Linked DNA regions of Nothobranchius furzeri. The protein of the gene in region 1 binds, or shares a complex with, the protein of each later gene. Links are inferred from orthologs where the notes say so. Each region holds a gene or a part of one and is shown in the gene's direction. Other genes may lie near its edges.

Region 1 (16,528 bases):
CTCTACTGTTGCTACATGCTTGCTTAGTATGAGGACTGCTGTAAAGACACTGACACTAGTCAGAGACTTGATGCAATTTGCTGGGTTCTTTATATAGGAAACGTTTTACTGATTGGCTTAATGAACTGAACTGTACTGGAATGTTTACTGTGTGAAGTGCCTTGAGACGACTCTTGTTGTGATTTGGCGCTGAATAAATAAACTTGAATTTAATTGATCATAAGTAAAAAAAAGATCATAAGTAAAAAAAATATGGGTTTTTAGTGAACTTGACCTTTATTGTCTGATTAACATGTTTTCTTGTTCAAATGTTGAAACCAACTTGGACAAAGCTGTTTGTTTTATTTTCTGGTACAATTTGAACTAAAAAAAATAGCATGCCAGTTTACTACTTAGTGTTATTTTTAACTAAATCTGAATATAGTGAATTACTATTGTATACAGTAAAAAATACTTTACATACATGCTTTAGTCACTTAATATTAGCTTTGTAAGCATCAGTTATAATTAAAGTTTATCGAATTCTTCACATGTGATCTTCATTTATTTATTACAGAGCTTCAGAATGCTACCATTTAAAATATATATTTTTTAATGTTGGGAATTATTTTTTAATATAGGCACATCTGTGCAACCTAGGAAATGTCTCCGTTTTTGTTTTTTGGTAAACTGTAAGCATTACAAGACAAACACTGGAATGGCAGTGACAGTACCAAGTTTTAAAGCTGCTTTCCGGAGTTTTCCTCTTTCAGAAATTATGTATAATTTGTCAGAAATCCGTAAAAGTGGTTATCTTGTCATGTACTGTGTAGGGCTGTAGCGAAGCCTCGACAAAGTCGACGGCTCGATTCTAAAAATTTGTCGACGTCAGATCCGGTAGTCGACGCACCGCGCCCACTTGTTGCATCCCCAGGAGTTTGTGAATAGAGGAGGAATCTGCCTGTTTTTCCTCTAGTTCGCCCTCTTCTCCGCCTTCACTAACATCTCCGCCAAATACCGAAGACCCGGAACAACGTCCGTCCACTACTAGATTATTTTCCTGTTTTGCCCCTTCGTCTCCCGGCAACGGACAACAACTTCCGGGGTCAGATGCGCTGCTTCGTGTCTATCGCAGATGTAGAAAATCACCGGGAGCGCTTCTCCCTTCATTAAGGAGCTTCTTTCAGACATGAGGAGAGCTGTTTTGGTGGTAGCAGTCTCTCCTCCATGCTGGTCTGTTTGCTGCTGGGTGTTTTTGGTTTATTTAAACTTGGTAACTTGAACTTAATGTTGGTAAAGCTACTGTTAGCATCTTCGCTAACAGCTTCTTGCGTTGGGATAAGCTGTTACGTTTTGGTTTAGAGTGCATCTTTTTTGTGGTGTAGATCTCCCTTTTATTAAATTTAGAGTGTTGTGGGTTTTCGGTTTAGTGTAAAATATCACCTGAGTTTGGTTTAACCCGTAAGACCACTCGCCTCACGCACATAAGTGACCAAAACAAAGCAGCATGGAGACACTCCATCTTCTACCACCTCTCAGGCAGCAGCCTGCACTCCAAAGTTCTACACGTCACCAGAACATAACCAACCACAACACAATAAAAGCAGTGTTATACAAAATGGAAGGCCTGTAGTGTTTATTCTCTTACAGTAAGAATTTATCAATTTTTTGAGGAATTTATTTGAGATTTTATGTTTTTTGTTAATTGTGCAATAGAAAAATAATCATTAGATTAATTTTCTAAATAGCCATTAGAATAGTCGACTATTCGATAAAATAATCGTCAGAATAATCGTTTTAAAAATAATCGTTTACCCCCAGCCCTAGTACTGTGATATAATATAAGCAATACATCTATTTTATTTATTTTTTGCTAAGCACGCCCCCTGCCCGGCAGAGCTCCGTGCAATAGGAAACTGACCAGAACTAACCAATAGCGTTAGACTACCACTTAGACGCTTCACATTTAAGGAATACCTCGGCTGATGCAGAGTTGATGAACTTTTCACAGACAAGTAAATCTCTAAAATATAAATATATGAAAGTACAACATGACATGAGAATACTCTTAAAACAGCATGTTTTAGCTCGGTTTGTCGGCTACAGAAGCACATTTATAAACAGAAATGTGAAGTAGCCATCTTAAAAAAACAGAGGAACAGCGGTTTTGTGTGATACGCTTGTCAGCCACTAGATGGTGCCATTGGATAAGAGAAATACTAAGGAAAAAAAGCTTTAATTATCGTGACAAAATGTGGCAGGGAAAACACTGTAACCTGTCCTCCTGTAACCCTCACTGGCTCAACTTGTAAAACAAAGAACCATTCAGCTATAATGTGACAATTATTCCAACCTGTGGATGTGATATGAGGTGTGTCAATTATTAAAAAAAATAAAAACTACTTCCTACAACAGTTTCCGTGTTTACCATTTCTTGCTTTTCCCACCTGGTTGAAATTGATAGTCTACTGCAAAGCTTCTGCTACTTTATTAAACTACGTTTAGACCATTTATTTCTCTGAATCAAGTGTGTTGGAGCTGGGGAGAACAAATCTATACCATGCATAATGGTGTGCATCATTTTCCTATTTATTTTAGAAAAGCTTCTACACTCAGCATATACTGAAGTAGACTTAATTTGAACATTACTTGTTAACATTTAGACTGTAGAAAAACCTGCAGCTGTTTATGCCTATTTGACATACCATGTCCTCCACGTAAGCAGACAGATGTAGAAATGGCACGTTTGCCAATAAGGGTAAGGGCTCTTGTTGTCAGCATCCTGTAGATAAAATTAAAAACTTTAATATATGAAATAAATCAAACACTTACCATACAGTCTATAAAAACCATGTTGATACCAAAGTATAGAAATAAACGTAGAAGCTGTAAATAGTAAAACACGTTTCGCATTAGTAAACACAATAAATGGCCCGCACTTGTATAGCGCCTCTCAGAGTAAGGACTCCAAAGCGCTTTACACTACAGTGTATCATTCATCCATTCACACACACACTGATGGTGTGCAACACATAAAATTTGTGTTCTGTGACCATATTTTATTCAGTAATTCTTAAAAGGTGAGGTAGGCGCCAAACATTATGTTAACAGTGACGCATATAAAACACCTTTTGCTAAAGTCATGTAGTCATGTTGTTGGAGATGTGCAAACAATCCAAAGATTCACGTTTACCTATGAGACTACGCTAATGTTAGCATTAGCTACAAACACAAGGTCACAGCGCCCGGTGAAATGTCTATGAAACACTTCTGCTTCTTAAACGCAAACTTTCACTATTGTTTTAGTTTCACACAGATTAATAAAATTAATTCATGGCGAAATACCCAAGGCTTTGTGAAATCAGTATAAACACATATTACATATTTTATTTTTATTGCTAACGGTAGCTAGCCGAGAAGTTAGCTCTTCCTAGCTCCGATCCGCTCTGACACAGTGACCGTGTGAAACTGTCTATTCCTGTTATTTTGCAGTGTAGTTCGAGTCACAGCATTAATAGTATTACAATTTAATTTAAAAGTGACTTGTGTAACAGTGTTTGTAATGTTCAAACGATATAGTTGCTAAAAACGCATACGACCTGCAGCGTCTCCCTTCCTCCGCGTTGGAAGTGGATCTCTCTGAACGGATACACGTCACGTACGTAAACTAGAAGTACGTAAAGTGCGCGGAACCAATCGAGTTTTACGTTAATTCCGGTGGTACTAAAGAGTGGAAGGTGGATGAACGATTAGCTCTTTTATCCGGACACGAGTTATTAGTTTAACAAAAAGACGGCAGTTGTAATTCCTATAACAGTATCGGTAAATTCGGCGTGTGAAATGTTGTTCCTCAGACCACATATTCTGAGACTGTAGTGGTAAATGTATACTTTTCTTCGGGCATGAGAAGTAAGGCTAGCTAACGGTGGCAGAAGCTCTATTTTATCGTGTAACTAGCAACTCTCCTACTTTGTCAGGACCTGCCTCATCCTAAACAACATGCCTATTCAACTGACAAGTCAGGCGTATTGCAAAATGCTTTTACATACTGCCAAATATCCGCACTGTGCCGTGAATGGATTGCTAATAGCAGAAAAATCGAAGGAGAAGAAGAAAGACGGCCACGGAGTTCCAGTTTTGTGTGTGGACTGTGTTCCTCTGTTTCACGGTACTCTCGCTCTGGCACCAATGCTAGAAGTAGCTTTGACGCTGGTTAGTATTTGTGAAGTAAACGTTACCTTTTTGTTTTCTTTAGTTGATAATTTGTTTAAACGTGCATTGTTTGAACTTAGTTGAATCAGTCTCTTTCATTAGTTTGTTGAAAGGCTCTGACTTTCTCTGACAGGTGTTTGTAAATTGATCCGCCCTACTCACCATGCATTTTCCAACATGGCTAATGTTATTGTTTGGATCAACGGAAAATTGTAAACTAACTGAGAAGTCGTGTAAGCTTTAAAACAAAAAGACACATTTACAGTTATTTCTGGTTGTTTTGAGAAAGGCAGAACTACTAAAAATGTTTCCAGATCAAATGCAGAAGTTATGACGATCAGTACTTTTCTACCCAGAAACTATTCATTTAAAAACTTTAAAGCTCACTTTGCTGATTGATTTCATGTGTAATGAATGTTAAATGTGGTTCTCACACATCTGTAGGTTTTTTTTAGCCCTGCAAGAAAGGGGAACTATTAAAGACTTTATGTACTAGACTGATGTTATGTTTTGTCATAAACAAAAATGAAACTATGCCACTAAAATTAATATTAAGGTCAAACATAGTTTGTTTTTTTAAGTACAACAAAACATTTTGTGAGCCGTCTTTTCAGGCACTGAAAATATGCGGCGATGGTAATTCTTAGATACACTTCAATAGATTTAAATTTCAGTGGAAAATATTTCCCTTTCGCAGAAGTCTACTTATTGTGACTGCCGTTGCCCTCTTGTTTTACATGTTGACCTGTTTGTTTTTATTCTCAGATCGACACTTGGTGTAAAGAAAACAATTATATCATTGCTGGATATTATCAAGCCAATGAACGGAAAAAGGATTCAAAGTACAAACAGTTTCTTCTGTCTTTTGTTCTTTAACAAACCATTCCCACAAATACCTCACATTAGTCCCTTCACTGTTTCATTTGTGCTAATCTCTTTAGACCAAACCAAGTTGCAGAAAAAGTGGCTGCTAGGATCACCGAGAACTTCAGCGAAGCTGCCATTGTTATGGTAAAGTTATTTAAATAAGACTTGTAATTATTGTACAACACATTAATCAATCAGAATCTAGAGATCCGCTGCTTGAAAAGTCGTACAAATGTTGACTGTCCTGGAACAAAAGAACCATTTGTGTATTAGACATATTTCTGCAAATAATGCAAAAATATCCATACCTTTCCTGTTTCCTGATACGGATGTGTGATTTTATTTGTTTTGATTCTGCAGGTGGACAACAGCAGATTAACAGTGAGCTGTTCAGAGCCCATTGTGGTCATTTATGATCATCATGAAAACAAGTGGAGAAACAGAGAAGTAACAATGTACGCGTCTGATTGCGCATTCCCACTGGACGTGCAAGCGTTTTGGACGTGTCATTCTGCGAAATGTACACTTCGATTAAATTTTTCACCTGCTACATTTCCAGAACACGTCAAGCTCTGCAGTTTGAATCGGGCCATACTAAAACATTCAGAAACTTTCAAAATAAAAGTCATGTGAAGCTTTACTTAATTAAAAAAAAAAAAGTGCATCAATACCTGTGAAACCTCCGTAGCCGAGGTGAACACAAAATAAAGAACCCCGCTTGTTATTGAGCGCACTGCAGGAGTCGCGCCATGCAAGCTGCATGGAACACTTTCTCTGCCGTTCTGCATCTGAAACGCTCATGGTGGGAGAGGAGCTTGCAGGCTTACGTACCCAGTGGAAAGCTGATGTCTTCTGCATATAAACTAAATGTTTGACCATTAACTTACAAAGTTTAAAGCAAACTAAATAAAGAGATGATGAACTAATGGATCTATTTGTGTTTTTATCTCCTAGGGGTTCTTTTGAGGACTGGAGCGAAGCACAGAAGATCACCTCTGCTCTGCTGGTGGGCAGGTCTTACGAGAACTTGATTGACTTTGACAATCACTTGGATGACTTAAGAAATGACTGGACCAACCCCGTCATTAACAAATCTGTCCTGGATCTTTGTTGAGACTTGGAAGTCTTCAGAGCAACATGGCGCACCCTCAAATGTCGCTGCCATTTTAGTCTGCATGATGCTACATACCAGGTAGCACATAGTCTTCAAAGTGTCTTCGCTGAAGAAACATGCAGACGAGCGATCACGCGGGCCAAAATTCTCCCACGTTCAGGCGCCACATGTGCACCAGTGGCCTGTGTTCATCTTTACCGGGCGATTTATAGGCGATGAAGGTGCTAAGCCTAAATGATAAATTTGTTTTTCCGTTAGATTCTAGAGTAATAGATCTATATAACTCAAATTTAAATCAACTAGACATGAAGAGTTTTACATGATTAAAATTTGGTTAAATAAAATTAACACATTGGTCTGAAGCTGCAGAAATGTAGCTATCATAACAACGCTGAGATCACACACAAGAACTGAAGTTCTTCTGCTGGTGTTGGGTGACTTGAGGTTTTAGTTGCATTAAAAAGAGACGCTTGAATTAAAAATGTGACTTTAAAATATTAATGCCAATGCTTTTCAAATATGTGATTACTTATTGTCATTGCCATGCTGCCCATTGTTCTGGATGGTTTATTCTTAAGTCTTCTCTGGTCAATGAAGTCTGATAATTTAGTTTTGCATTTACATTTGAATAATTACGTTACGGTTATGTTTATATGTCGACGGTTACGGTCTATGAGACAGAACCTCGAAATCCCTTTTCACCTGGTGGAAGTTTTGAACACAAGTTTCGTTGATTGAATGGGAAATGAAGTTCTGATCAAATTCCTTCATTGTGTGTAAAACATCTGTCTTTAATTTGATGGGTTTGGCATTTTAAGAGGGTTGGGAAATAATTACAGTGACTCCAGAGCTGTAGCTCACTGATGGTAGTTTTGGATTAATGTGCTTTTTTAAGAGTTGTGTTCATTTGTTTATGTATCAGCAGCTTGTGTGTGAAGGTCATGTGGTACAGATAACTGGTAGAACGAGGACTAATGCGACATTTTATGTCAGTTTGTGATAAAGTTTTTTTCTTCAAGAATGTGACATTAAAATAAAGACTTGATAGTGCAAACATCTAGAGAGAAGTCTTGTATTGGTTGTACTCTTAAATCTGTCTCACTGCCAACTCTTAAGCAACAAGCGTGAGAAACCCGTATTTGACTGTTTTTACAGCTCTCATGCCACATTTCCAATTTCTTAAGCTAAATAAATAGTTCATCTATCTGAACTACACACTGTCGTGCTACACACACTCTAGCTACAGCGCTGCAAACTGGTTGGTGTCAAAGAGGAGGGGAAATGTTGCCCTCCAGTGGCGACAAGCTAGAACTACACTGGAAGAGAACATTTCAGCCTCATCTCAACAAAGCTGAAAAAAGTCGCCGTAGGGACTTGTGCTTTGCGCCACACAACATTCTGTTCAACATCGTTACAAAAATGCAGTTTTAACAGTGTTTTTAGATAAGAGAACAAGACTGTTCGAGTGAGTTCCTCTGTTGCCAACACCAAAATGCTGTAGCGTTTTATTTTGAAATAATTTGCAGGAAGTGTTTCCACTATTTTGTAACTTTAATTATTTTTGTTCCGTTTTCTATTCCGCCATCATATTAATATTCTCAAAGGACAGAAACAAAGACGGATTTATTTTCAACATCACTGAAATGAAGCTAAAACTTTGATGGTTTAACAGAACAAGTGTAGTTCACGCTTCTCGCCACTTGAGGACGCCAAAATCCCAAAGATGCTCTTCAATAAATCAGTTTTCATTCAACTAATATACGTACGAGGAGGAACAGTGAACTGCTTATATATAATAACTTCTGTTTAAAACGTAAATTCAGTCATCCTAAATCAGATTTCACAACATTGCTGAGAGAATTACCAAAATAATTACTTTTCAAAACCAAAAACATTATTGAACACCAATAAACCGGCAGTAAAGCCCAGTTTCTATCCAGGGAATATCCCTCATTGATAGAAAAAGCACAAACCAATTTACTAGACACTGTCTTCCTGAACACCTATCCCCCTGTAAAATGAACAAGAACAACATACTTTAAATGTATCAATAAACTAAGTATATTTGAGCTCTAACTTCCTAGTCAACCAAAAGTCTAATTGACAAAATGTTTGAATGCCGTTTATCCTTCTAAGGAATTGCTGAGAAAATGCTTAAACATTGATGATAATACTTGAGACAACGGGTCATTTACTGCAGGTCAATCATTAATCCTGGCTGGATATAATTTCAAATAAAAATATTTCTATTTAAGGAGACAACTGTTACTATTGGAACAAGATAGTTATAACTTGGTCCTCTGTTTGCCAAAATGTTCAAACATAAGCAAAGAATATTTAAATTACCCCAACTTTAATTTTTTTTTAATTACAAGTGTCTAAAATCCCTAAATTGTATTAAAGATAATGGTTACGGGTTTATATATGAATAATGAAAACTTCCAATAATTCTATTATTATTAATATTTTTAATTCCCTGTTTGAATGTCATTTAAGATGAATTACATATTTGCCTTACATGATCTATAAAGGTTGAATAAAGAAATGGAAGAATAAGTATGGTTTAACCGTTGTAGCTCACAGTTGCCGCCTAGTGGTGGTAGTCTGCTATAGCTGCAGTTCATACGGAAGTTGTCATTCCGGAAGTGCCCGGACTAAAATTCAAGGTTCCATCGCTGCCGTCATAGTCAGGTTGAGCCAGGAGCTTCACGATTTTGACGCCAGAAGCACACTGTTCTCATTATTTTGATGCAATGAATTGAAAGAACGAATACAATCGCTACAAATAAAATTACTCGTAGCACTTCAGGTTTTACTCTACGGTACTTTCTTTTGATGACGTAGCTGACCAATCCTGGCATTTTGCTTCGTACATTTTCAGCGCGGGAATTGTCGGCTTCAGCGAACAAAAACAAAGTCATGGATCCTTCCGAAGTTGAATTCTTAGCCGAGAAAGAGTTAGTCAAAATAATTCCCAATTTCAGCCTGGACAAGATCTTTTTAATCGGGGTAAGTCTGAGAGAAATTGCGCAGATTAAGCTAATCTCGAGTTAATACACATTTAAAGTCACTACTGAGGCGCGTGAACAGCCTTACTTCTGTCCGCAGGGAGACTTGGGACCCTTTAACCCCGGCCTGTCCGTGGATGTTCCTCTGTGGCTGGCTCTGAACCTGAAGCAGCGACAGAAATGTAGGATTCTGCCTCCTGACTGGATGGATGTTGGTAATGATTCTTTGTTTAGTTTGGCACCCTGGTTAAACATCGCGATCCCTCTTATTAAAAAGAGGTTTCCAGAAAACTAACTTCAGTAAAAGTGTCACAAGGCTCAGTTTGAGAACCCCTAAAGGGCTCTGGCGTGTACGGCACAATTTCTCAACAGTTTTGGATACTTTTTATTGTTATGTTTTAAAACTGTGGTTGTCTGTTTTTAGGGTCACACTTTTTGTGCTACCCTGTATATTTAATGTTTTCAAGCCATATTGTGATACTTACTTGTATTAGTTTATTCTGAAATTACTTTATCTATGCAAATAAAAATCAATCAATCAATCAACTTTTACAACTGTTTTTGAACATTTCGTATCTCAATATCTACTTTCCTACTTTTAAAATTAGATTTCTGGACACAACACTGATTTCTGTCCTCTGTTGAGTTAGTTTTTTATCCCTGGTTTAATCCCGGATGCAAATAAGAACAATAATAATTGTTGCAATTATTATATATTTCTATTTAAAAAAATCAGATATAAAAGCAGTCCATTGCCCCTTTAAAAGAAGAGTGCTCTTCACTCACACATGGAACTATCTTCTCTATTTTTGAATTTAGTAAATTCTAACTTCTCTTAAAAGTTTGAATTTAAACACAAGATTGGTTTATAATCTCATCAACAGTTCCTAGCAAATAATTAGCTAAAAACATGATACTGATTTTAAATGATTTGCTCCAACAGAGAAACTGGAAGAGATGCGAGCGCTGGAGAGAAAGGAAGATGCCTTCACTCCCGTTCCCAGTCTGTACTACATGGAGATCACCAAACTCCTACTGAACCAGTAAGTCACTAATGCAAACGTTAAGCTTTCCATCCTGTTGTGCTCTCTGCTGATGGTTTTGTGTGTGTGTGTGTGTGTGTGTGTGTGTGTGTGTGTGTGTGTGTGTGTGTGTGTGTGTGTGTGTGTGTTGCTGTAGTGCTTCTGACAACATTCCTAAAGCAGATGAAATCCGAACACTGGTCAAAGACATCTGGGACACTCGGATTGCCAAGCTACGCCTGTCCGCCGACAGCTTCATCAATCAGCAGGAGGCTCACGCCCAGGTAATGCAGACTTTTAAGGATTATATTGTAGTTATACACCGGTTTAATTCAGATCACATCTGGAAACTTCTTTTTTAGATTTTTCTTGTTGAATTATTTCAAATAACATTTTATTAAATGTCCCACAACAACAACAAAATCACTTGAGCACGTCTGTTTTGTTTTTTTACAAGAGAAACCGTGAATTAAAACACAATTATTTTATTGTTGCACTTTTTTGATGCTGTAATCATGTGATTCGGTGGAATAATTTAGTAAATTAAACATCTGGGGAGCTTGATGTTTTTCTTCTTTGCAGGATTACCGGTCATCATAGAAACTGATCAGCTCAAAACAATGTTTAGGATTATTCCTATTTTCCTGTCGTAAAAGACAGTATAGTTATTATCTATGTTTATGAGGTCTTATTAATCCCAAATGGCTCTCTGAATTAAAAATGCTCAAAATGAAACTCGGCTGCGGTCTTTCTGCGTGGAGTTGCGTGTTCTCCCCATGCATGCGTGGGTTTCCTCCGGGTACTCTGGTTTTCCCCCACAGATCACAACATGCCCTATAGGTTATAAATTTAAGTTGCTTTGGATAAAAGCATCTGCCAAATGAATAAACATAAACTTTCTTTCCCCAAGGCCTCCACAAAAACACTCCAGCTCGGATCAGTGGCTAAACCAAGAATGATTTCCTAAGTCAATATGAACTATTCCACAACTAATAATCTAGATAATCATTAAATAAACATTTGTTTATTGCTACTTATAATAAATATATTATAATGAAATGTTCCATTAATCTGTGCTCAATGATTGAATTGCGAAATGAATATTGTGTCTACAATGATTGCAATGTGGTTCCGCTTGTTTATATGGCGAGGTCATAACATCTGCACTCACACAATAACGAGTACGGTTACGTTAAACTCTGACACATAAATAGTCTTTTACCCAGTCAGAACGTCCGGTCAAAGAAGGCGTGTTTCTGAGTTGTCTTGGTAACATCTCTCAAGCCTGTCAGCCTTTGATTGGCTGTGCACCCTGTCAAAGATTTTGACACATCGTCAAAACCTTTGTGCACCTGTGAAGCTGATGAACAACAGTCCCTGCAGAACAAAGCTGATATTGTTCAACTCCCTAAGAGTTGCTCCTGAGACGCAAGCTAGTCCAGCCTGTGTGTCTGGTGACATCTCGGTACTGGGGAAGTCGGTACTTGTCAATCCACTGGACCTGGGTGCCCCAAGGTCATCTGACCTCTCTGACCTCCGGATCCACGACAAGGGTCTCCAAAAGGGTGAGGTAGAACACAGTGAAGATTGCGTCTGATGTGCTTCTGATGATAGCAACTTCATAGCGTAGCGCAAACCAAATTCTTTTACATCCAGACTCAGCTCTTCTAGATAAGGAGGTTCTAACACCACATTGATACATAGTTTATGTTTACGTATTTAGCAGACACGTTTGTCCAAAGCGACTTACAAGTGATAATCGGCATGTTGCTCTTGAGGCTAACAACAACAATAACAACAACAACTTGACATCAGTCATGGAGAGGAGGGAACAAAGGAGTGGACAGTAGAGAGGGGGGACGGGTGCAGGCAAGGTGCTAGTTTAGAAGATGCTCTCTGAAGAGCAGGGTCTTCAGGAGTTTCTTGAAAATTGAAAAGGAAGCCCCTGTTCTGGTAGTGCTTGGAAGGTCATTCCACATTTGTGGAACGATGCATGAGAAGAGTCTGGATTGTCCTGAGCGTGGTTTAGACACTGCTAGCCGACAATCCTGTGATGACCGGAGCGGCTGGGCCGAGACGTAAGCCTTAGCAAGAGGATTCAGGTAGATGGGAGCCATACCATCTCAGACTTTGTATGCTAGTGTTAGCAATTTGAATTTGATGCGTGCTGCTAGCGATAGCCAGTGGAGCTCAATGAACAGAGGGGTGACGTGTGCTCTTTTTGGCTGATTGAAGACCAGACGCGCCGCTGCGTTCTGGACCATTTGAAGAGGTCTGACAGTACAGGCTGGAAGACCAGTTAGAAGGGCATTGCAGTAATCGAGGCGGGAGATGACAGTAGATTGCACCAGGAGCTGGGTGGCATGTTGTGTTAGGTATGGTCTGATCTTTCGTATGTTAGGGGTGGGTGCAATTAATCGATGTGGCGATGCATCTAAAAGCTTTACTGTTGTTTCGGCATCGATTAATGAACGTTGATGCTTAAAAAAACATAACATCAACATTTTGTTGCAAAGCCGGTACTAAAAAAATAAAAACACGTAACTGGAGCCTTAACGTTCACCGCCCGGACTGTTTAGTGAGTGGCACTACCTCTTTGACCTCTTTCTCCATCCTGAAGACTGTCTCCAAACTACCGAAGAACTCGGAGAAGGCGAGGAGCATTACAAAAGCAATAGCTACTTTTATCGCGACGGATCTACGCCAGTATTCAGTAGTGAACAACAGGGGGTTTCGGTTAGTGGTGCGCACCATGGAGCCGTGCTATAAACTTCCTCACCGAAAACACTTCACAGAAAAAGAAGTCCCCCTCCTCTACAAGGAAGCCAAAGCAAGCGTTCTGGAGTCCATGACGAAGGCAACCGGGATACTGTACTAATATACAGCGCAAAGCGGCATGAACGAGCAACAGAGGCAACATGATCTTTAAAGGTCAGGTGTTCATCAATCACAACACCCAGATTTCGAACTGCCTTTGAAGGAGCCAGAGATAGGAAGTCATTTTGGATTGAGATATTGTGCTGTGTGGATGGTTTTGCTGGGATGACAAGTAGTTCAGCTTTAGAGAGGTTGAGTTGGAGATGGTGGATTTCATCCATTTTGATATGTCAGAGAGACAGTTTCATACTCCTGCAGAGACAGTGTGGTCGTCCGGTGGAAATGACAGATAGAGCTGGGTGTCGTCTGCATAGCAGTGGTAGAAGCTATCACATTTAGTTCCGTCCACTCACAGCAAATGCTTAGTTAACTAGTCATGTTTTAATTGTTTATAAAATAAATTTTTACTTTTATAAACCTGACTCTTTTCTGATTCAAAACAAAGTGTGTACAATTACTTAATAAAGCAAAAATCATAGAATCTTCTGATAAATACAATAAAGACCAAACAGGGTTGATATTTTATATTTAAATAGTATCACAGCTTATTGGTCATAAGTAGAGGTAATATATATATTGAGCTCTTAAAGCACTCAATTTACCAAAAGCTACACACACACACACACACGTATATATATAACTTGTAGATGTCATCTGTCAGAACAGCACCTCTTCTTCCTCATGCCTCATTCTGCATCCTTCCCTCTGCAGCTGGACAACCTCACCCTGATGGAGATCAACACCACACGGGAGTTCCTTCTCGATTCTCTGAACTTCATGTTCAAGCTGCGCTCCAACCTGCAGCCTGGGTCCAGCAAGGGCCAGCTCACGGACTACTAATCCAAAACATCCACGCCTTCGTAGCCGCTTTGAGTCTTCAGACGGAGCTCATGCCATTAAACAGTAGTGCGTTCTTACCAACCAGGCCCTGCACCACTGGATGGAACATCCTAGAACCCAGTTTAACCAGTAATGAGGGATTTTACCTCTTTTGATGAAGATCTTTATTTTATTGCTTGCAGTTTGTGATAAATGCAAATGTAATTTAAGTCCATTGCTGATCGTTTGTGCTTTTAATATGTAACTAAATAAATATACTCATTCTTAATTGCCATAATTTCTCTATTTTTCTTTATGAATGTATTTCTAATGCATCAGGATTTGTCGAGAGAATTTCTGCTGCAGAAAACATTCTGGGAAGGGCTTTTTATGACAGTTCAATGAAGCATACACAAATGTTAATGTTTAACATTTTTGAAGTATTTTATTTTCTTTTTTGTCTGAAATCACAGCCATATATTCATAAATACCTAATTACTACATTCAACAAAGAATATATTACATTACAATGAATTTAAACAAGTACATTTTTTTAAAAAACAGGATTTCACAGCATCTAGACATCTTCCACTGAGTAACAGGACTATTGCATGGGCGTGCGTGGGTTGGAGACTGAGGAAGAGGATCGTCTTACTGCACCTTCCTCCCACAGCTCATTGGCAGCTTCCCTCAGCGTGCATGCATCCTCGTTTACCGGCCGGCTGCACCGTTGGCCCTCTCTCTCCACTGCTGTGTAAATGTAACAGGCTACACTCTGTGGTCCTCTGGTTTAGGCTTACATTATTAATGAAACTTTTGTTTAAAAAAAAACGTTTTTAGAGATGCATTCAGATCAGTTTAGTGTCAGTTCTTGACTTGCACATATTTGAAAGACACTTTGATGTGGAGTCCCTGATCGCTAATGTTGGGTGGAGAATGTTCGACGTGGACAAACTCATTCGCATGCTCCCAAATTATTGAGGCACTTTTTATATAGTGTGGCATAGTTGTGCTTCAGTGTTTTCTTTCTTTTACTATAAATTAACTTCTTTTAAGTACATTTTAAAATGTATACACCGTTTTTTTGTAGTTGGGCTTATTGAAAGGCTTCACCCCTCAACATAAACATCCCAGTGATGTTAAATCTGTAACATAGGGGGTCTGAGATCAAACATCTTTAGACCAGAAACATAAAAATAATACTACTTCTCCAATTATAGGACACAGATTGTGAACACGTGTAAGGTCAAGCAAACCGTTACAACTCGGACTATGTGAACAAGTAAAATTCAACTCCTGGTTCTAAGTGTGATTTTTAGGAAACATGTTGCAGCTTAGGGGCGTAAGATGTTGTTTTTTAGGTGTGGGGGATATTTGGCTGCCAAATTACAACTCAAGTCAAGGTCAGCGATAAAAAAAATGCTGTTTTTGGCACAACGTCCTTTAATGGAAGGTGCATCTCAGGCAAGCATGTTGTGACTTCAAGGCTATGTAGAATGTAAAGGTCAAATGGTAAAGCAATCTGAACTGGACGTGGGTCTGGTTTTATGCACAAGGACATTACAAGCTAACGTGTCATGCTAGCAGCGGTGAAGCGTTGCAGGGGTCTCTAACATAAAGACGTGTTGCTGTGAAAGAAAACGGGAGGGGTGTGAGCGGAAAGACACCGGGTCTCGCGGCCCTCTGAGTGAGCTTCGCTGAGCTCAGAGGGATGGATGAGGTGGCTGTGGCCAGGTCTCGGCGCAGAACGACAGCAGGAGCACTTCCTGCTTTCACTCAATCTGTTCCAACATCTCAAAATGAGTTTTTTTCTGGCCAGCAGCAGTACAAACACTAAAAGCAAGGCTTTTTTTTTCTCTTTTCGCAATCCCCTCAAAAGCAAAAACATATAAAAATGGCAGGCTTTTTTTTCTTAAAAGAACAATGATTAAAGTAATAAAAACATACAAAATTCATTTGTCTTCATATTATTTACAATACAAGGCTGAAGCACCTTTTAAAATTCTTATTTTCAAAAATTTCTATTGAAATAAAACATTTCCTTAATTCTTTTCCAAAAAAAAAAAAGTACATTTCTTAAGTTCTTCCCTAGTGTGAATAGTTCTTTGTTGTAACGCGGTACCAACAGGTAGTTCTTCAGCTTTGATTCTTAAGTGCATTTCCAGTTCAAAAAGCTCACGTGGCCTCTGGAAAAAAAAAAATCTGTCCCAACTGACTGGAAGCCTTTGCGTTGAGCTCTCAAGTCTTGTGACAAACCCCCTCCTGGGGAAGCTGCTCCTTCATTGGCAGGATTGTCTGTGGCGCCGAGGGGTGCGGGGATGGACCGACCGACAGAGCAGCAGGAGCTGGATAGTGGAAGCAGCAGGTGCGTCTGCGTGGATGTTCAGGTTCCGCCTCGCCGCTCGCAGGTTGGCTACATTGGCACGCGTCAGTGGTTTTCGGTTCAGTCCCTGGCAAGCCACAATCCAAATCCTAACTGTCCTTCACCGAATGCCTCTCCCTCCCCTGAGCATTCACCTGTCTACTCATTCACTCCATTTATTCATTTTCTCACTAATCTTAGCTAGCCTGCCACGTTCTCCTGTATGGTGCCACGAGGACCAGGCTGTGAAAAATAAACTCTGGGTTCA
Region 2 (12,089 bases), on another chromosome or scaffold:
CGAGCTGGACGGTATCCGAGCCGCGGGGACGTGGAAAGCGGAGAGGATCATTACCTCCAGGCAGGGTCCAGCGATCCGCGTGGAGGGCAGCCGAGGCAGTGAGTGCTCAGAGTTACAACCAGCAGTTATTTATAAAAGTATCATAAAACAAGCTCTAAAGTCTGGATCAGTCCAGGTGATGCAGCGAGCTGCAGCTGACTGAGGAGGAGCGTTTTTCTGTTTAAACACAGACAAGTGGGTTGTCACAGCTCCTAAAGTTCACAAAAGTTACTACACGCTTCTGTCGTGACACGCTCACCAGCTCACCTCCGCCTGGCTTGTGTCCAGTCAGCAGCTTGTCAGCCATTTCTGAATGGAGAACCCTTTTATGAACGGCTAGGTCACTTTAGGCCAGTCTCTGTTCCTGCTAGCAGGAGGAAGCTCTTGGTGGTGATGAGATCACAAACTGGAAGAAATGGCATGCTGCTTGGCAGTGGTGCATTTGTAGTCCAGAAAAAAAAAATTCAGATTTTTCAATTTTACTTTGGCCGGTCAACATCTGCAACAAAAACACCATTTCTCCAAACTCATGCTGTTCAGGGAACTGTAAAGGTTAAAGTTATCATTTTTACACATTTCATAATGACAACAAATGTTTTTAGATTTAAAATGTTTTGAAGTTTCAAAGTTTTTTTTTTTGTGATTCCTAATTAGTGGAAATGCTGGGGTTTTATTTATTTATTTATTTGTTTGTTTTTAGGCATCCTGAACTTCTGTGCTAACAACTACCTGGGCTTGTCCAGCCATCCAGAGGTGGTGCAGGCAGGAATCGATGCACTGAAGTCCCACGGTGCAGGCCTGAGCTCGGTCAGGTTCATCTGTGGCACGCAGGTATGGCGCGTAATGCTCACTCGGACTAGAAGATAAATTCATCAGAACGGATCTTATTTGTGTTTTTAAGGATCTACACAAACATCTGGAGCAGAAGCTGTCAGAGTTTCATGAGCGGGAGGACTGCATCCTCTACGCCAGCTGTTTTGATGCCAACGCTGGGCTGTTTGAAGTATGTGATGATTCCTTCTTCTGTGTCCTGACGCCAAACTAAAATCACGATCTTTAAAAGGACTGTGACTACAGGTGCTGCTGGGCCCAGATGATGCGGTTCTGTCTGATGAGCTCAACCACGCCTCCATCATCGACGGCATCCGTCTGTGTCGAGCGAAGAGGCTGCGCTACAAACACATGGACCTCAGTGACCTGGAGGTCAAGCTCAAAGAGGCTCAGGTAAGGTTTGTCTTTCAGAGCTCCACTCTGTGCGTTTAAATCTGACGTTTGTTCGTTTTTGGTTGTTTGCGCCCTTAAGGTGGTGCTGTTAAATAAGTAAAAGTCAAAGCTCCGTTGGCGGCTTCTGTCTCGATGTCGTTGACGATCCAGGCTGCTGATGCTCCGTCTCTTTGTGTGTTTCCGTCCTCAGTCGTCTCGTATGCGTCTCGTCGTGACAGACGGAGTCTTCTCCATGGATGGAGACGTAGCTCCCCTTCCAGGGATCTGTGACCTGGCAGAACAGTACGGAGCCATGGTGTTTATAGACGAATGTCACGCCACGGGTTTCCTGGGAACCCGAGGCAGGTGTGTGAAGGTGCTGCTTTGAAAATGATTCGAGCTGTAACATGTGGGCTGTGCATAGCAAGCCATCAGGTGTGTTTATTTATTTATTGTTTTCCCTTTTTTCCCTTTTTTTCCCTTTTTTATTTTTTTCCCTTTTTTCTTATTTTTTTCCTTTGTTTCCCTTTTTTATTTTTTTCTTCTTTCTTTTCTTATTTTTTTCCTTCTTTTTTTCACTTTATTATTATTTTTTTTAATCAGGTGTGTTTTTAATTGTCGTGTTTCTAAATTGGCTTTTAAACGAAGCTTGGTGTTTAAAAACAGTCAAACGTCGTTTAACTCCGAACTCTACCACTGTGCAGAGGAACAGACGAGCTGCTCGGTGTGATGGACAGAGTTCATATCGTGAACTCCACTTTGGGGAAAGCTCTGGGAGGAGCAGCAGGTGTGTCCCATCTGCTCACCGTCCTTCATGCTAGCTTGGGATGTGAAATGGTGGAGTTAAAGTGTAATTAACACATATTTCCTGTCAGGCGGCTACACGGTGGGTCCGAAGCCTCTCATCGACCTGCTGAGGCAGCGCTCACGGCCCTACCTCTTCTCCAACGCCCTCCCCCCCTCCGTGGTGGGCTGTGCCACACGAGCTGTGGAGCTGCTGCTAGCCTCCAACGAGATTGCACAGAGCATGACTACCAAAACCATGAGGTATGCTTGCTTTAAAGGGACGTTTCATACGTTTTGAATCAGTCAAGCTTTATTTATAAAGCACTCTCCATACAACTTGGTGTGACACAGTGTTTTACAGTAAACTCAGTCCAATAAATACCGTCATCTCATGTTAGATGTTTGGGAGATAAAGTCAGGGAGGCCAGCCTGAGATGGTGTGGACGTGTCCAGACGAGAGGCAATGATTACGAAGGAGACGTTTGGACGTGTCCAGACGAGAGACGATGATTACCTAGGAGACGTTTGGACGTGTCCAGACGAGAGGCGATGATTACCTAGGAGACGTTTGGACGTGTCCAGACGAGAGACGATGATTACCTAGGAGACGTTTGGACGTGTCCAGACGAGAGACGATGATTACCTAGGAGACGTTTGGACGTGTCCAGACGAGAGGTGATGATTACGTAGGAGACGTTTGGACGTGTCCAGACGAGAGGCGATGATTACGTAGGAGACGTTTGGACGTGTCGAGACGAGAGGTGATGATTACGTAGGAGACGTTTGGACGTGTCCAGACGAGAGGCGATGATTACGTAGGAGACGTTTGTACGTGTCCAGATGAGAGACGATTACGTAGGAGAAGTTTGAATGTGTCAAGACGATGATTACATAGGAGACGTTTGGACATGTCGAGACGAGAGACGATGATTACGTAGGAGACGTTTGGACGTGTCCAGACGAGAGACGATGATTACCTAGGAGACGTTTGGACGTGTCCAGACGAGAGACGATGATTACCTAGGAGACGTTTGGACGTGTCCAGACGAGAGGCGATGATTACGTAGGAGACGTTTGTACGTGTCCAGACGAGAGGCGATGATTACGTAGGAGACGTTTGGACGTGTCCAGACGAGAGGCGATGATTACGTAGGAGAAGTTTGAATGTGTCAAGACGATGATTACGTAGGAGACGTTTGGACATGTCGAGACGAGAGACGATGATTACGTAGGAGACGTTTGGACGTGTCCAGACGAGAGACGATGATTACATAGGAGACGTTTGGACGTGTCCAGACGAGAGATGATTACGTAGGAGATGTTTGGACGTGTCGAGACGAGAGACGATGATTACATAGGAGACGTTTGGACGTGTCCAGACGAGAGACGATGATTACCTAGGAGACGTTTGGACGTGTCCAGACGAGAGACGATGATTACCTAGGAGACGTTTGGACGTGTCCAGACGAGAGGTGATGATTACGTAGGAGACGTTTGGACGTGTCGAGACGAGAGGTGATGATTACGTAGGAGACGTTTGGACGTGTCCAGACGAGAGGCGATGATTACGTAGGAGACGTTTGGACGTGTCCAGACGAGAGGCGATGATTACGTAGGAGACGTTTGTACGTGTCCAGACGAGAGACGATTACGTAGGAGAAGTTTGAATGTGTCAAGACGATGATTACGTAGGAGACGTTTGGACGTGTCGAGAAGAGAGACGATGATTACGTAGGAGACGTTTGGACGTGTCCAGACGAGAGACGATGATTACATAGGAGACGTTTGGACGTGTCCAGACGAGAGATGATTACGTAGGAGATGTTTGGACGTGTCGAGACGAGAGACGATGATTACATAGGAGACGTTTGGACGTGTCCAGACGAGAGATGATTACGTAGGAGACGTTTGGACGTGTCGAGACGAGAAACGATGATTACTTAGGAGACGTTTGGATGTTTCCAGACGAGAGATGATTACGTAGGAGACGTTTGGACGTGTCGAGACGAGAAACGATGATTACTTAGGAGACCTTTGGATGTTTCCAGACGAGAGATGATGATTATGTGGGAGACGCCAGGCTGAGAGGAAAACAAAAAGGATTTAAAGTTGGTCTGTGTGACCGTAGAAGATGCAGAAAACAGGACTAAATGGAGACAGATGATTGGCTGTGGCGACCCATAAGCCTGGACACAAATTAGACCCGAGTCATTAAAACTAACACTAATTTCTCATAATAAAATAATAAGATAAAGGCTACATCAGCTTTCTGATAAGGGTTAGGGCTCAAAGCAGTTAAGATAAAACGGGAAACAGTTCCTCAAAGGAGCAGCTAATAGGATTTTAACCTCAAATCAAACTTGAGTTTGCTCCAAAAACACGAACCATCGGTGTAACTGAGAATGATGTCTGCAGATACCAGTGGTAGCATGTATAGACTAAACTGTGCTGGGCCTAAAGGTAGACCCTGTGGAACTCCTTATTAAAGTGGCTTGTGTTTAGATGAGTAAATTATAATGGCATTACCTAATAAATCACTTCAGACAAAAATTTAATGGTGTTTTAACACATTTTTATTCATCTTGTTTTGAAGAGTGTTGCTCATCAGCTCTGAACACACAGACACTTCCTGGATCACAGCAGGGCTGAGATCTTCATCACTTTTGGTTAGGATGAGCGTCGCCCCACGTTTTAACCAATGAGATTATTGGGGGCGGGGCAAAGACTGGTTCAGCACTGACGTGAACCAAAGCTAAAAGGAATGTTGTTGATCTTTTAACCTAACGTTTTCTTCCATCTGCTCCAGACAGCAGAGTTGATTAAAGAAAACTTCCTTGTGAACACCGCCATGTTGGATTTTCCTGTCACCTGTTTAAAATATCAGCAAAGGCTAAATGAAAGCAACAAAAGCTAACTGATGCCTCAGCAAAGTGGATCGCTACATGCTACAGGCTAATTAGCACCATGAAGGATAATGTGTGGTACTTTAGTTACAGCTACTTTGTATGGGAGTCCGTTACTTGGGCATTTTTATTAATGCTGTATCTCACGAGGTATAAAACTTTATTTAGAACATTCTGATTTGACATCATTTTAGATTTCTGCAATAATAAAAATATGTTTACATAAAGGGAGGATATTTGTCTACTGCCCACTCCTCCAACCAATTTCTACTTCCTGAAACAGGAGCGCCAGAGCTCTTTTCCCACATATCGACTCTCAATCACATTCATTTGTGCTGGAGACCACTGTACATGTACTGACTAAACAAGTCGACTTGATCTTTAAGATAAGTTTGTAATCTGCGATTAATCACGAGTTGACTATAGAACTTTTGAGGATTTTTAACATTAAAACGTTTTAACTGACGGACAGAATCCGAAACGGAGGCTGTTAAGGAAACTTAGAAAGACTTCTTAGTCTAAAATGTCTTCTGAGGGAAAGATGTCACCAAAGCAGATTAGCTAAGAACAAACACGACGCTCCCACCTTCACATGTGATCGTGTGACTGCTGTCCAACCAGATTCCGGAACAAGATGGCGCATGCCGGCTTCACCATCGCTGGCTCAGCTCACCCCATCTGTCCCGTGATGCTCGGCGACGCCCGGCTGGCCTCCACGATGGCCGACGATATGCTGAAGCTCGGTGAGACTCCACTTCCCAACAAACTGCATCAGGATCAGGTTCACATTCCCATGACCGCCTCAGTCTGATGGTTCGTTTATCCTGTTCACAGGAATCTACGTGATTGGATTCTCCTACCCAGTGGTGCCAAAGGGCAAAGCCCGAATCCGCGTTCAGATTTCGGCCGCGCACACCGACGAAGACATCGACCGATGTGTGGACGCTTTCATTCAGACGGGAAGAAAACATGGAGTCATCTCCTAAAAGAAGTTTAATTCAACCGCAGCGCCTGTTACTCCACACGGATGATGTAGAAGGAAACATTCGTTACATTTGAGCATTTTTTAAATAAGTGCTGTTGATAAATGTTTGTATTTGGGGTTTAAAAGAGGGCTAATAATGAATAGCCTACACTACGTCTTAGCACGAGAAAGCTTTTCTCTTTTATCCACAAATGTGATTTTTAAAGATTGCTATATTAAAAAGTTTAGTGGTGCTGGAACTAATGTTGTATGATGAGAACTTGTGGAAAACATTAAAGGTGCATTATGGAAGTTTGACAGTCAAAACATGTATAGAAATAATAAATGTCTTCTTCATACATTCTCCTGCAATGCCCTGGTCCTGTAGAATGAGCCCTGGCATTTTTACTGTGATTGCCTGTTTTTCTGTAAAATCACAGAAAAAGAGAGATGCTCGGGTCGAGCAGGCTGCTTCATTCACGCTCAGGCATCGCCCGTAGCGTTTGCTATCAGTAGCTTTAGCAGCAGAGAGAGAGACAGTGCCACTTTGTCGCTGTTCCTAACGCCTAGTGACAAAGCTAGCTACATTTCTGAGGACCCTTAGCTACTTTCTGTAGAACTTTCTTCTAGATATTTCCTGCAAATTAGCAACAAAATAGCCATTTTCGCTCCGAACCGTTCTTTGAACGTTGTTTCAGCTGTCATCAAGGATATAAATGTTACAGATACTGTGAATGTTACTAGAGTGTAGCTCACCTTGTGAGACGACGGACTCGCATGCAGAACACCTGTGTTCGATTCTAGGTGTGAACATAGTTTATTTAGAGTTTATTTTTTACATTAATGGTATATTTTTTTACAGTAAGATGCCCAAATTTTTATTGGAGACTCGCCGAACGGCATTGAATTCACAGATAAAAAAGATGTGGGTTCAACTTTCATTTTGGAACAATTTTTCAAGTAAGGGAAGGGAATGATCTGAGCATGCAGGAGGACTGACCCATCATAAACCTTTGTCGGCTGTGCTGAAGAGAAAGGTACAGAACCAAATTATTTAATGAATTAGCTGCACGTTCTCTTGTCCTCTGTCCTCCAGGCCACCCACACACACACACACACACACACACACACAAGGGACTGTCTCAGCTGTTGTTTTCGTTAAGGAGTGTGCACGTACAGCATGCGCTCCTCGTGCACGAGCCTACTATTGAAGCTGCTGTTACGCTTTTGGCCTGAGGGGGCAATCGCGAGCATAAAACTTCAAAAGTCCGTAAAGTATTAAATTAAGAAGAAAACTCGAGGCTGTGTTTGTCTTACTGAGATTTATAATTAAGAAGAAACAAAGGTCTGTGATGGACTGGGGACATGTCCAGGGTCCTTTCCTCTCACCCAATGCCTGCAGCTGGAGATGGGCACCAGCTCCATGTCGTCCTAGTGAGGATTAAGTGGATGGATGATTGTGCACAAGTGACTTAGAGCTTGTCCCAAGTGCACAAACCAAAATACAACATGGCAGCACCTGCACACAGGAGTCACTTGATGGGAATAATGTGTCTAGTTTCAATGCAAGTTCATGAAAATACCAAACAGGATCATACCTGCGGTGGTGGAGGGTTGATGGTTTGGGCTTCTTGCACTCATTGAGTCTACTCATCTTTTTTTAATGGTTGAAAAGTGAGTTTATGTCTCTGATGTTTAACCCTCTCAGGCTCAAAATAAGTTTTGATAAAAGGACGAACAACTAAGTCCTTCAGGGGTACTTCTGAGTTCAAAAGTGCTCATGAAATACTTATGTGGAGTAACCAGGTAGGTAGGCTTTAACTGTTGCAGACGCCTGCCTCCAGAGGGTTAAGGGAGTTGTTCTAGTAGGAACAAATGTCTTGTAAGTTGTTCTCGGGGGTGAAAAATATACCGATGCACTATTTATCTGACCTAAAAGTTGCCCACGTTACAGCTGAGCTATTTGGACATCTCGCCCCAGATTGGATGACAGCAACGCGACTCTACCATTGACTTGCAACAATGTTTTATCCACTAATAACACAAGTCTTGAGGAGCTTCTGCTGTGTGGTGCTGCTGCTAATGCTAATGGTTAGCTACATTCTCTGCGGTTTCCTGGACGTTAAACAACAGCCTCCCCCGTCGTGAGTCAAGATGGGTGAGTCCATGAATGTTAGTGACAGGGTGACGTAGATCTGTCAGGATTTTCTAATCCCAGAGTTTCACCGTCTGTTTTCTATCAGAAGCTAAAGCAGCCGGAGATTGGTGTAGGAGATTATTCTCGTGTTCAGCCTGCGAGAAACACGAGTGGCTGATTGATCATAAGTAGAAATAAAAATAAAAGAAGGCTTTTTCAGTGTTGCACTCTTTTAACGCGTTGGAGTAAAGTTGATCATGAAAAGGGACCAAATCCCAAACACAGCTGATCTACAACAGAATGGTGTCCAGAGTCCAGACCCACAAACCAGAATGATGGGAAGTCTCAAACTCTTCCAAAGCCGTGTGAGCCTGAAGCACCCAGACTGGAGTTTTGCATGAAAAAGGTTGAAATATGTTTCTAATAAATGTTAAAGTCTGATCTTTGAAGACAAAACAGCTGAAACGTTTGCGAAAACGAGCTAGATGTTCTCATGGCTCCTCTGCATGTTGAGCTGGGCAGCACGACGCTCCCGCCCCTCCCCCTTTGTGTTTTTCGCGCCACAACAGCGCTAAGCTCCACCTTCCCCCGTAACGTCACGCCTTTTGGAACCCTCTGTGACCAATAGAAAGAAGCCGGATTTAATTCAGCCAATCAGAGAACAGAAGAGGCGTGTAGCGAAACAAGCGGCTCGCGGGAAACAGACAGGAAGCAGATCGTTTTTTCCCGCGAAAGGACTTCGCTCTGGCGCATTGTTCCTGTTAGTGCCGCTCTCTGGGATCGCTCTGTCTGAGAATAAAGTCGTGTCCCAGCTCCGAGTTTTAGTTTAGTGAGCTGCAGCAGGATGTCTGGCTTCGACATTCCCGGAGTTTATTACAGCGACAGCTTCGGAGGAGGAGACGCGCCCGGCGGGGACGACGGCGGGCAGAAGCGGGCTCAGATCAAGAAGCGGTTCCGAGAGTTCCTCCGGCAGTTCCGGGTGGGAACGGACCGCACCGGCTTCACCTACAAATACAGGTGAGCAACACAGACGGCCACAGCCACCAAAGAACTGGTTTTAATAAGGAGGTAAATGTTCGAAGTGAAACGACACAAAATGTTAAAATAAAAGAAGTCTTTATCCGGAAGGTACCTACCAAAATAAGAGCTGGGTGAGGAGATCTAAGGTTTCAGGGTGAAATGAGGCTTTTTTGTGAGTGTGTTCCGCCATCTTTAAGGGAGAGCTACCGCGACCCCCCCTCCCCGTGCCACGCCACACACACACACACACACACACACACACACACACACAAGAATGGGCTCTCTTCACCCTGCTTTTATTTTGGTAGTCTGTCCGGATTGTAACATCTGTCCGTCCTTCCCATCAGAGATGAGCTGAAGAGACACTACACCCTGGGAGAGTTCTGGGTGGAGGTGGAGATGGAGGACCTGGCCAGCTTTGATGAAGACTTGTCTGACTGCCTTTACAAGGTTCCTGCGGAGAACCTGCCCTTGGTGAGTCTTCTGCTGGAGCCAGACCCAACTGTCAGGCGAACCTTTCCAGCGACATCCTCTAACAGATTTTCATTTAACAGCTGGAGGAAGCTGCCAAGGAGGTGGCGGATGAAGTGACCCGTCCTCGACCTGTAGGAGAGGAGGAGGTGCAGGACATCCAGGTCATGCTCAAGAGCGACGCCCACCATGCTTACATTCGCACCCTGAAGGTACCTGCTGACCCGTGTTGTTTAAGAGCCTTGTAGTCGTCGCGCAGGACTGGATTACACTACTTTTCTTCTCGTACAGTCGGAGCAGGTGTCTCGTCTGGTGAAGGTGCACGGGATCATCATCTCAGCCACGGCGGTGAAAGCAAAGGCCACCAAGGTGTGCCTCCAGTGTCGCGGCTGCAGGAACACCATCAAAAACATCGCGCTGCCGCCGGGCCTGCAGGGTTATGCTCTGCCCCGCAAGTGCACCAGGTGGGCGTAACCCAGAGGAGCCGCGCTTTCCCCCGGGCTTTCGGCCATCAGCGAGGAAGCTAACGCACCCCTTTTGTTCTCAGTGACGCTCCTGGGAGAGCAAAGTGCCCCGTGGACCCGTACTTCATCATTCCGGACCGCTGCGTTTGCGTGGACTTCCAGACGCTCCGTCTGCAGGAGTCTCCGGATGCCGTGCCACACGGAGAAATCCCCCGGCACCTGCAGCTGTACTGTGACCGGTAAGGAGGGGCGGCGTGGCGTGGCGTGGGTGTTTGAGCCGGGGCGGTGTGTTCTGCTCACTCAGGTGTCTTCTCTTCTCTCAGGTATATGTGTGACCGCGTGGTGCCTGGCAACAGGGTTACCATCCTGGGGATCTACTCCATCAAAAAGATGGCTGCTGCCAAAGCAAAGGGCAAGGAGAAGGGCATCGGCGTCGGGATCCGCGCGTCCTACTTACGAGTGGTCGGCATCCAGGTGGACACAGAAGGAGCAGGTACCGCTTTACGTCTGCTTCACGAGGCTGGCCTCTAGTCCACCCGGAGAAACGTTCCCCTTCTTCATCCCGTCCAGGTCGTGGTGCCACCGGGTCCGTGTCTCCTCAGGAGGAGGAGGAGCTGAGAGCTCTTGCTGCTTCTCCGAGCATCTACAACTCTCTGGCTCAGTCTTTAGCTCCCTCCATCTACGGCAGCGACGATCTGAAGAAGGCCATCACCTGTCTGCTGTTCGGAGGCTCGAGGAAGAGGTGAAACCGCCACCTCGCCCCATTCCCCCCCCCCCCCCCTTAGGGAATTTTGTGGATATTTAATCTGCAGAAATGTTTCTTATCTGACTTTAATAGGTAACCTTTTTGATTTTCTTCCTCCAGGCTGCCCGACGGTCTCACTCGCAGAGGCGACATCAACCTTCTGATGCTCGGAGATCCCGGTACGGCCAAGTCTCAGCTGCTGAAGTTTGTGGAGAGGTGCTCGCCTATCGGGGTAAGAGAAGCTTTCCCGGAGCTGCTGCTCTGACGCCAGCATGAGGAGAAGCTCAGCGGTGTGTCTGTGACCTTCAGGTCTACACCTCCGGGAAGGGCAGCAGCGCAGCCGGCCTGACCGCCTCGGTGCTTCGAGACCCTAGCACTCGTGGGTTCATCATGGAGGGAGGGGCCATGGTGCTGGCCGACGGAGGAGTCGTGTGCATCGATGAGTTCGATAAGGTAGGACCGACGCCCGAGCGTCAGCGTTAGACCCGGTTCGGAGTCTAAATCTGAGCGGTTTCTGTTTCTCAGATGAGGGAGGATGACCGCGTGGCTATCCACGAAGCCATGGAGCAGCAGACCATCTCCATCGCTAAGGTACGTACAGCTGATGCGCCATCTTGGATGTGAGACGGTTGCCGTGGTATCCTGACGTCCTCGCTTCCTCCAGGCGGGCATCACCACCACCCTGAACTCCCGCTGCTCCGTGCTGGCCGCCGCCAACTCCGTGTTTGGTCGCTGGGACGACACGAAGGGGGAGGACAACATTGACTTCATGCCCACCATCTTGTCTCGTTTCGACATGATCTTCATCATCAAGGACCAGCACGACCAGCAGAGGGACATGGTGAGGAGGCTGGAGCCTCGAACGCGTCGGCGCCCCCTTCCTCCGGAGTGTAACCTCACCGTCTGCTTGTTCCCCAGACGCTGGCTCGCCACGTGATGAACGTCCACCTGAGTGCTCAGACGCAGACCGAAGGTGTGGAGGGCGAGGTTCCTCTGGCTACGTTTAAGAAATACATCGCCTACGCCAGAGCGTGAGTCGGCCTCGGGCGTTTGGTCTGTCGTCCACAGTCGCGAGTCCGTTCTCAGACTGAGTGTGTGCTTGCAGGAAGTGTGGCCCTCGGCTTTCCGCGGCTGCCGCTGAGAAGCTGAAGAACAGATACGTGGTGATGAGGAGCGGCGCGCGGGAGCACGAACGCGAGAGCCACAAGCGGCCCTCCATCCCCATCACCGTCAGGTACCGGCGGCGCCTGCGTCCGAGCGAGTCGTCGCACCCGGGAGAGGGTTGTCACGAGTGTCTTGTGTCTTCAGGCAGCTGGAGGCGGTCGTTCGTATCGCCGAGTCGTTGGCTAAGATGAAG

Evidence for each region.
Region 2: gins2 (region 1) and mcm5 share a complex: the UniProt entries of both Homo sapiens proteins name them as parts of the CMG helicase complex. The link is inferred for Nothobranchius furzeri from reciprocal best matches to the Homo sapiens genes GINS2 and MCM5.

What each region holds. Positions count from the first base shown.
Region 1 is NC_091749.1:57,265,103-57,281,630, reverse strand, and holds gins2 (DNA replication complex GINS protein PSF2), read left to right. Parts: upstream 1-8,846; 5' UTR 8,847-9,091; coding exon 9,092-9,181; intron 9,182-9,280; coding exon 9,281-9,395; intron 9,396-10,123; coding exon 10,124-10,223; intron 10,224-10,359; coding exon 10,360-10,486; intron 10,487-13,790; coding exon 13,791-13,919; 3' UTR 13,920-14,187; downstream 14,188-16,528. Other genes in the region: cox4i1 (cytochrome c oxidase subunit 4 isoform 1, mitochondrial), read right to left, coding at 2,685-2,760; emc8 (ER membrane protein complex subunit 8), read left to right, coding at 3,979-4,191, 4,957-5,033, 5,133-5,202, 5,419-5,513, 6,013-6,172. UniProt on the Homo sapiens protein: Required for correct functioning of the GINS complex, a complex that plays an essential role in the initiation of DNA replication, and progression of DNA replication forks.
Region 2 is NC_091752.1:68,034,178-68,046,266, forward strand, and holds the start of mcm5 (DNA replication licensing factor MCM5), read left to right. Parts: upstream 1-8,741; 5' UTR 8,742-8,876; coding exon 8,877-9,049; intron 9,050-9,399; coding exon 9,400-9,526; intron 9,527-9,606; coding exon 9,607-9,735; intron 9,736-9,814; coding exon 9,815-9,987; intron 9,988-10,070; coding exon 10,071-10,226; intron 10,227-10,310; coding exon 10,311-10,480; intron 10,481-10,557; coding exon 10,558-10,729; intron 10,730-10,852; coding exon 10,853-10,964; intron 10,965-11,041; coding exon 11,042-11,185; intron 11,186-11,257; coding exon 11,258-11,323; intron 11,324-11,396; coding exon 11,397-11,573; intron 11,574-11,650; coding exon 11,651-11,763; intron 11,764-11,837; coding exon 11,838-11,966; intron 11,967-12,040; coding exon 12,041-12,089. Other genes in the region: gcat (2-amino-3-ketobutyrate coenzyme A ligase, mitochondrial), read left to right, coding at 1-98, 740-870, 941-1,042, 1,117-1,263, 1,454-1,608, 1,947-2,029, 2,118-2,289, 5,553-5,674 and 1 more. UniProt on the Homo sapiens protein: Acts as a component of the MCM2-7 complex (MCM complex) which is the replicative helicase essential for 'once per cell cycle' DNA replication initiation and elongation in eukaryotic cells.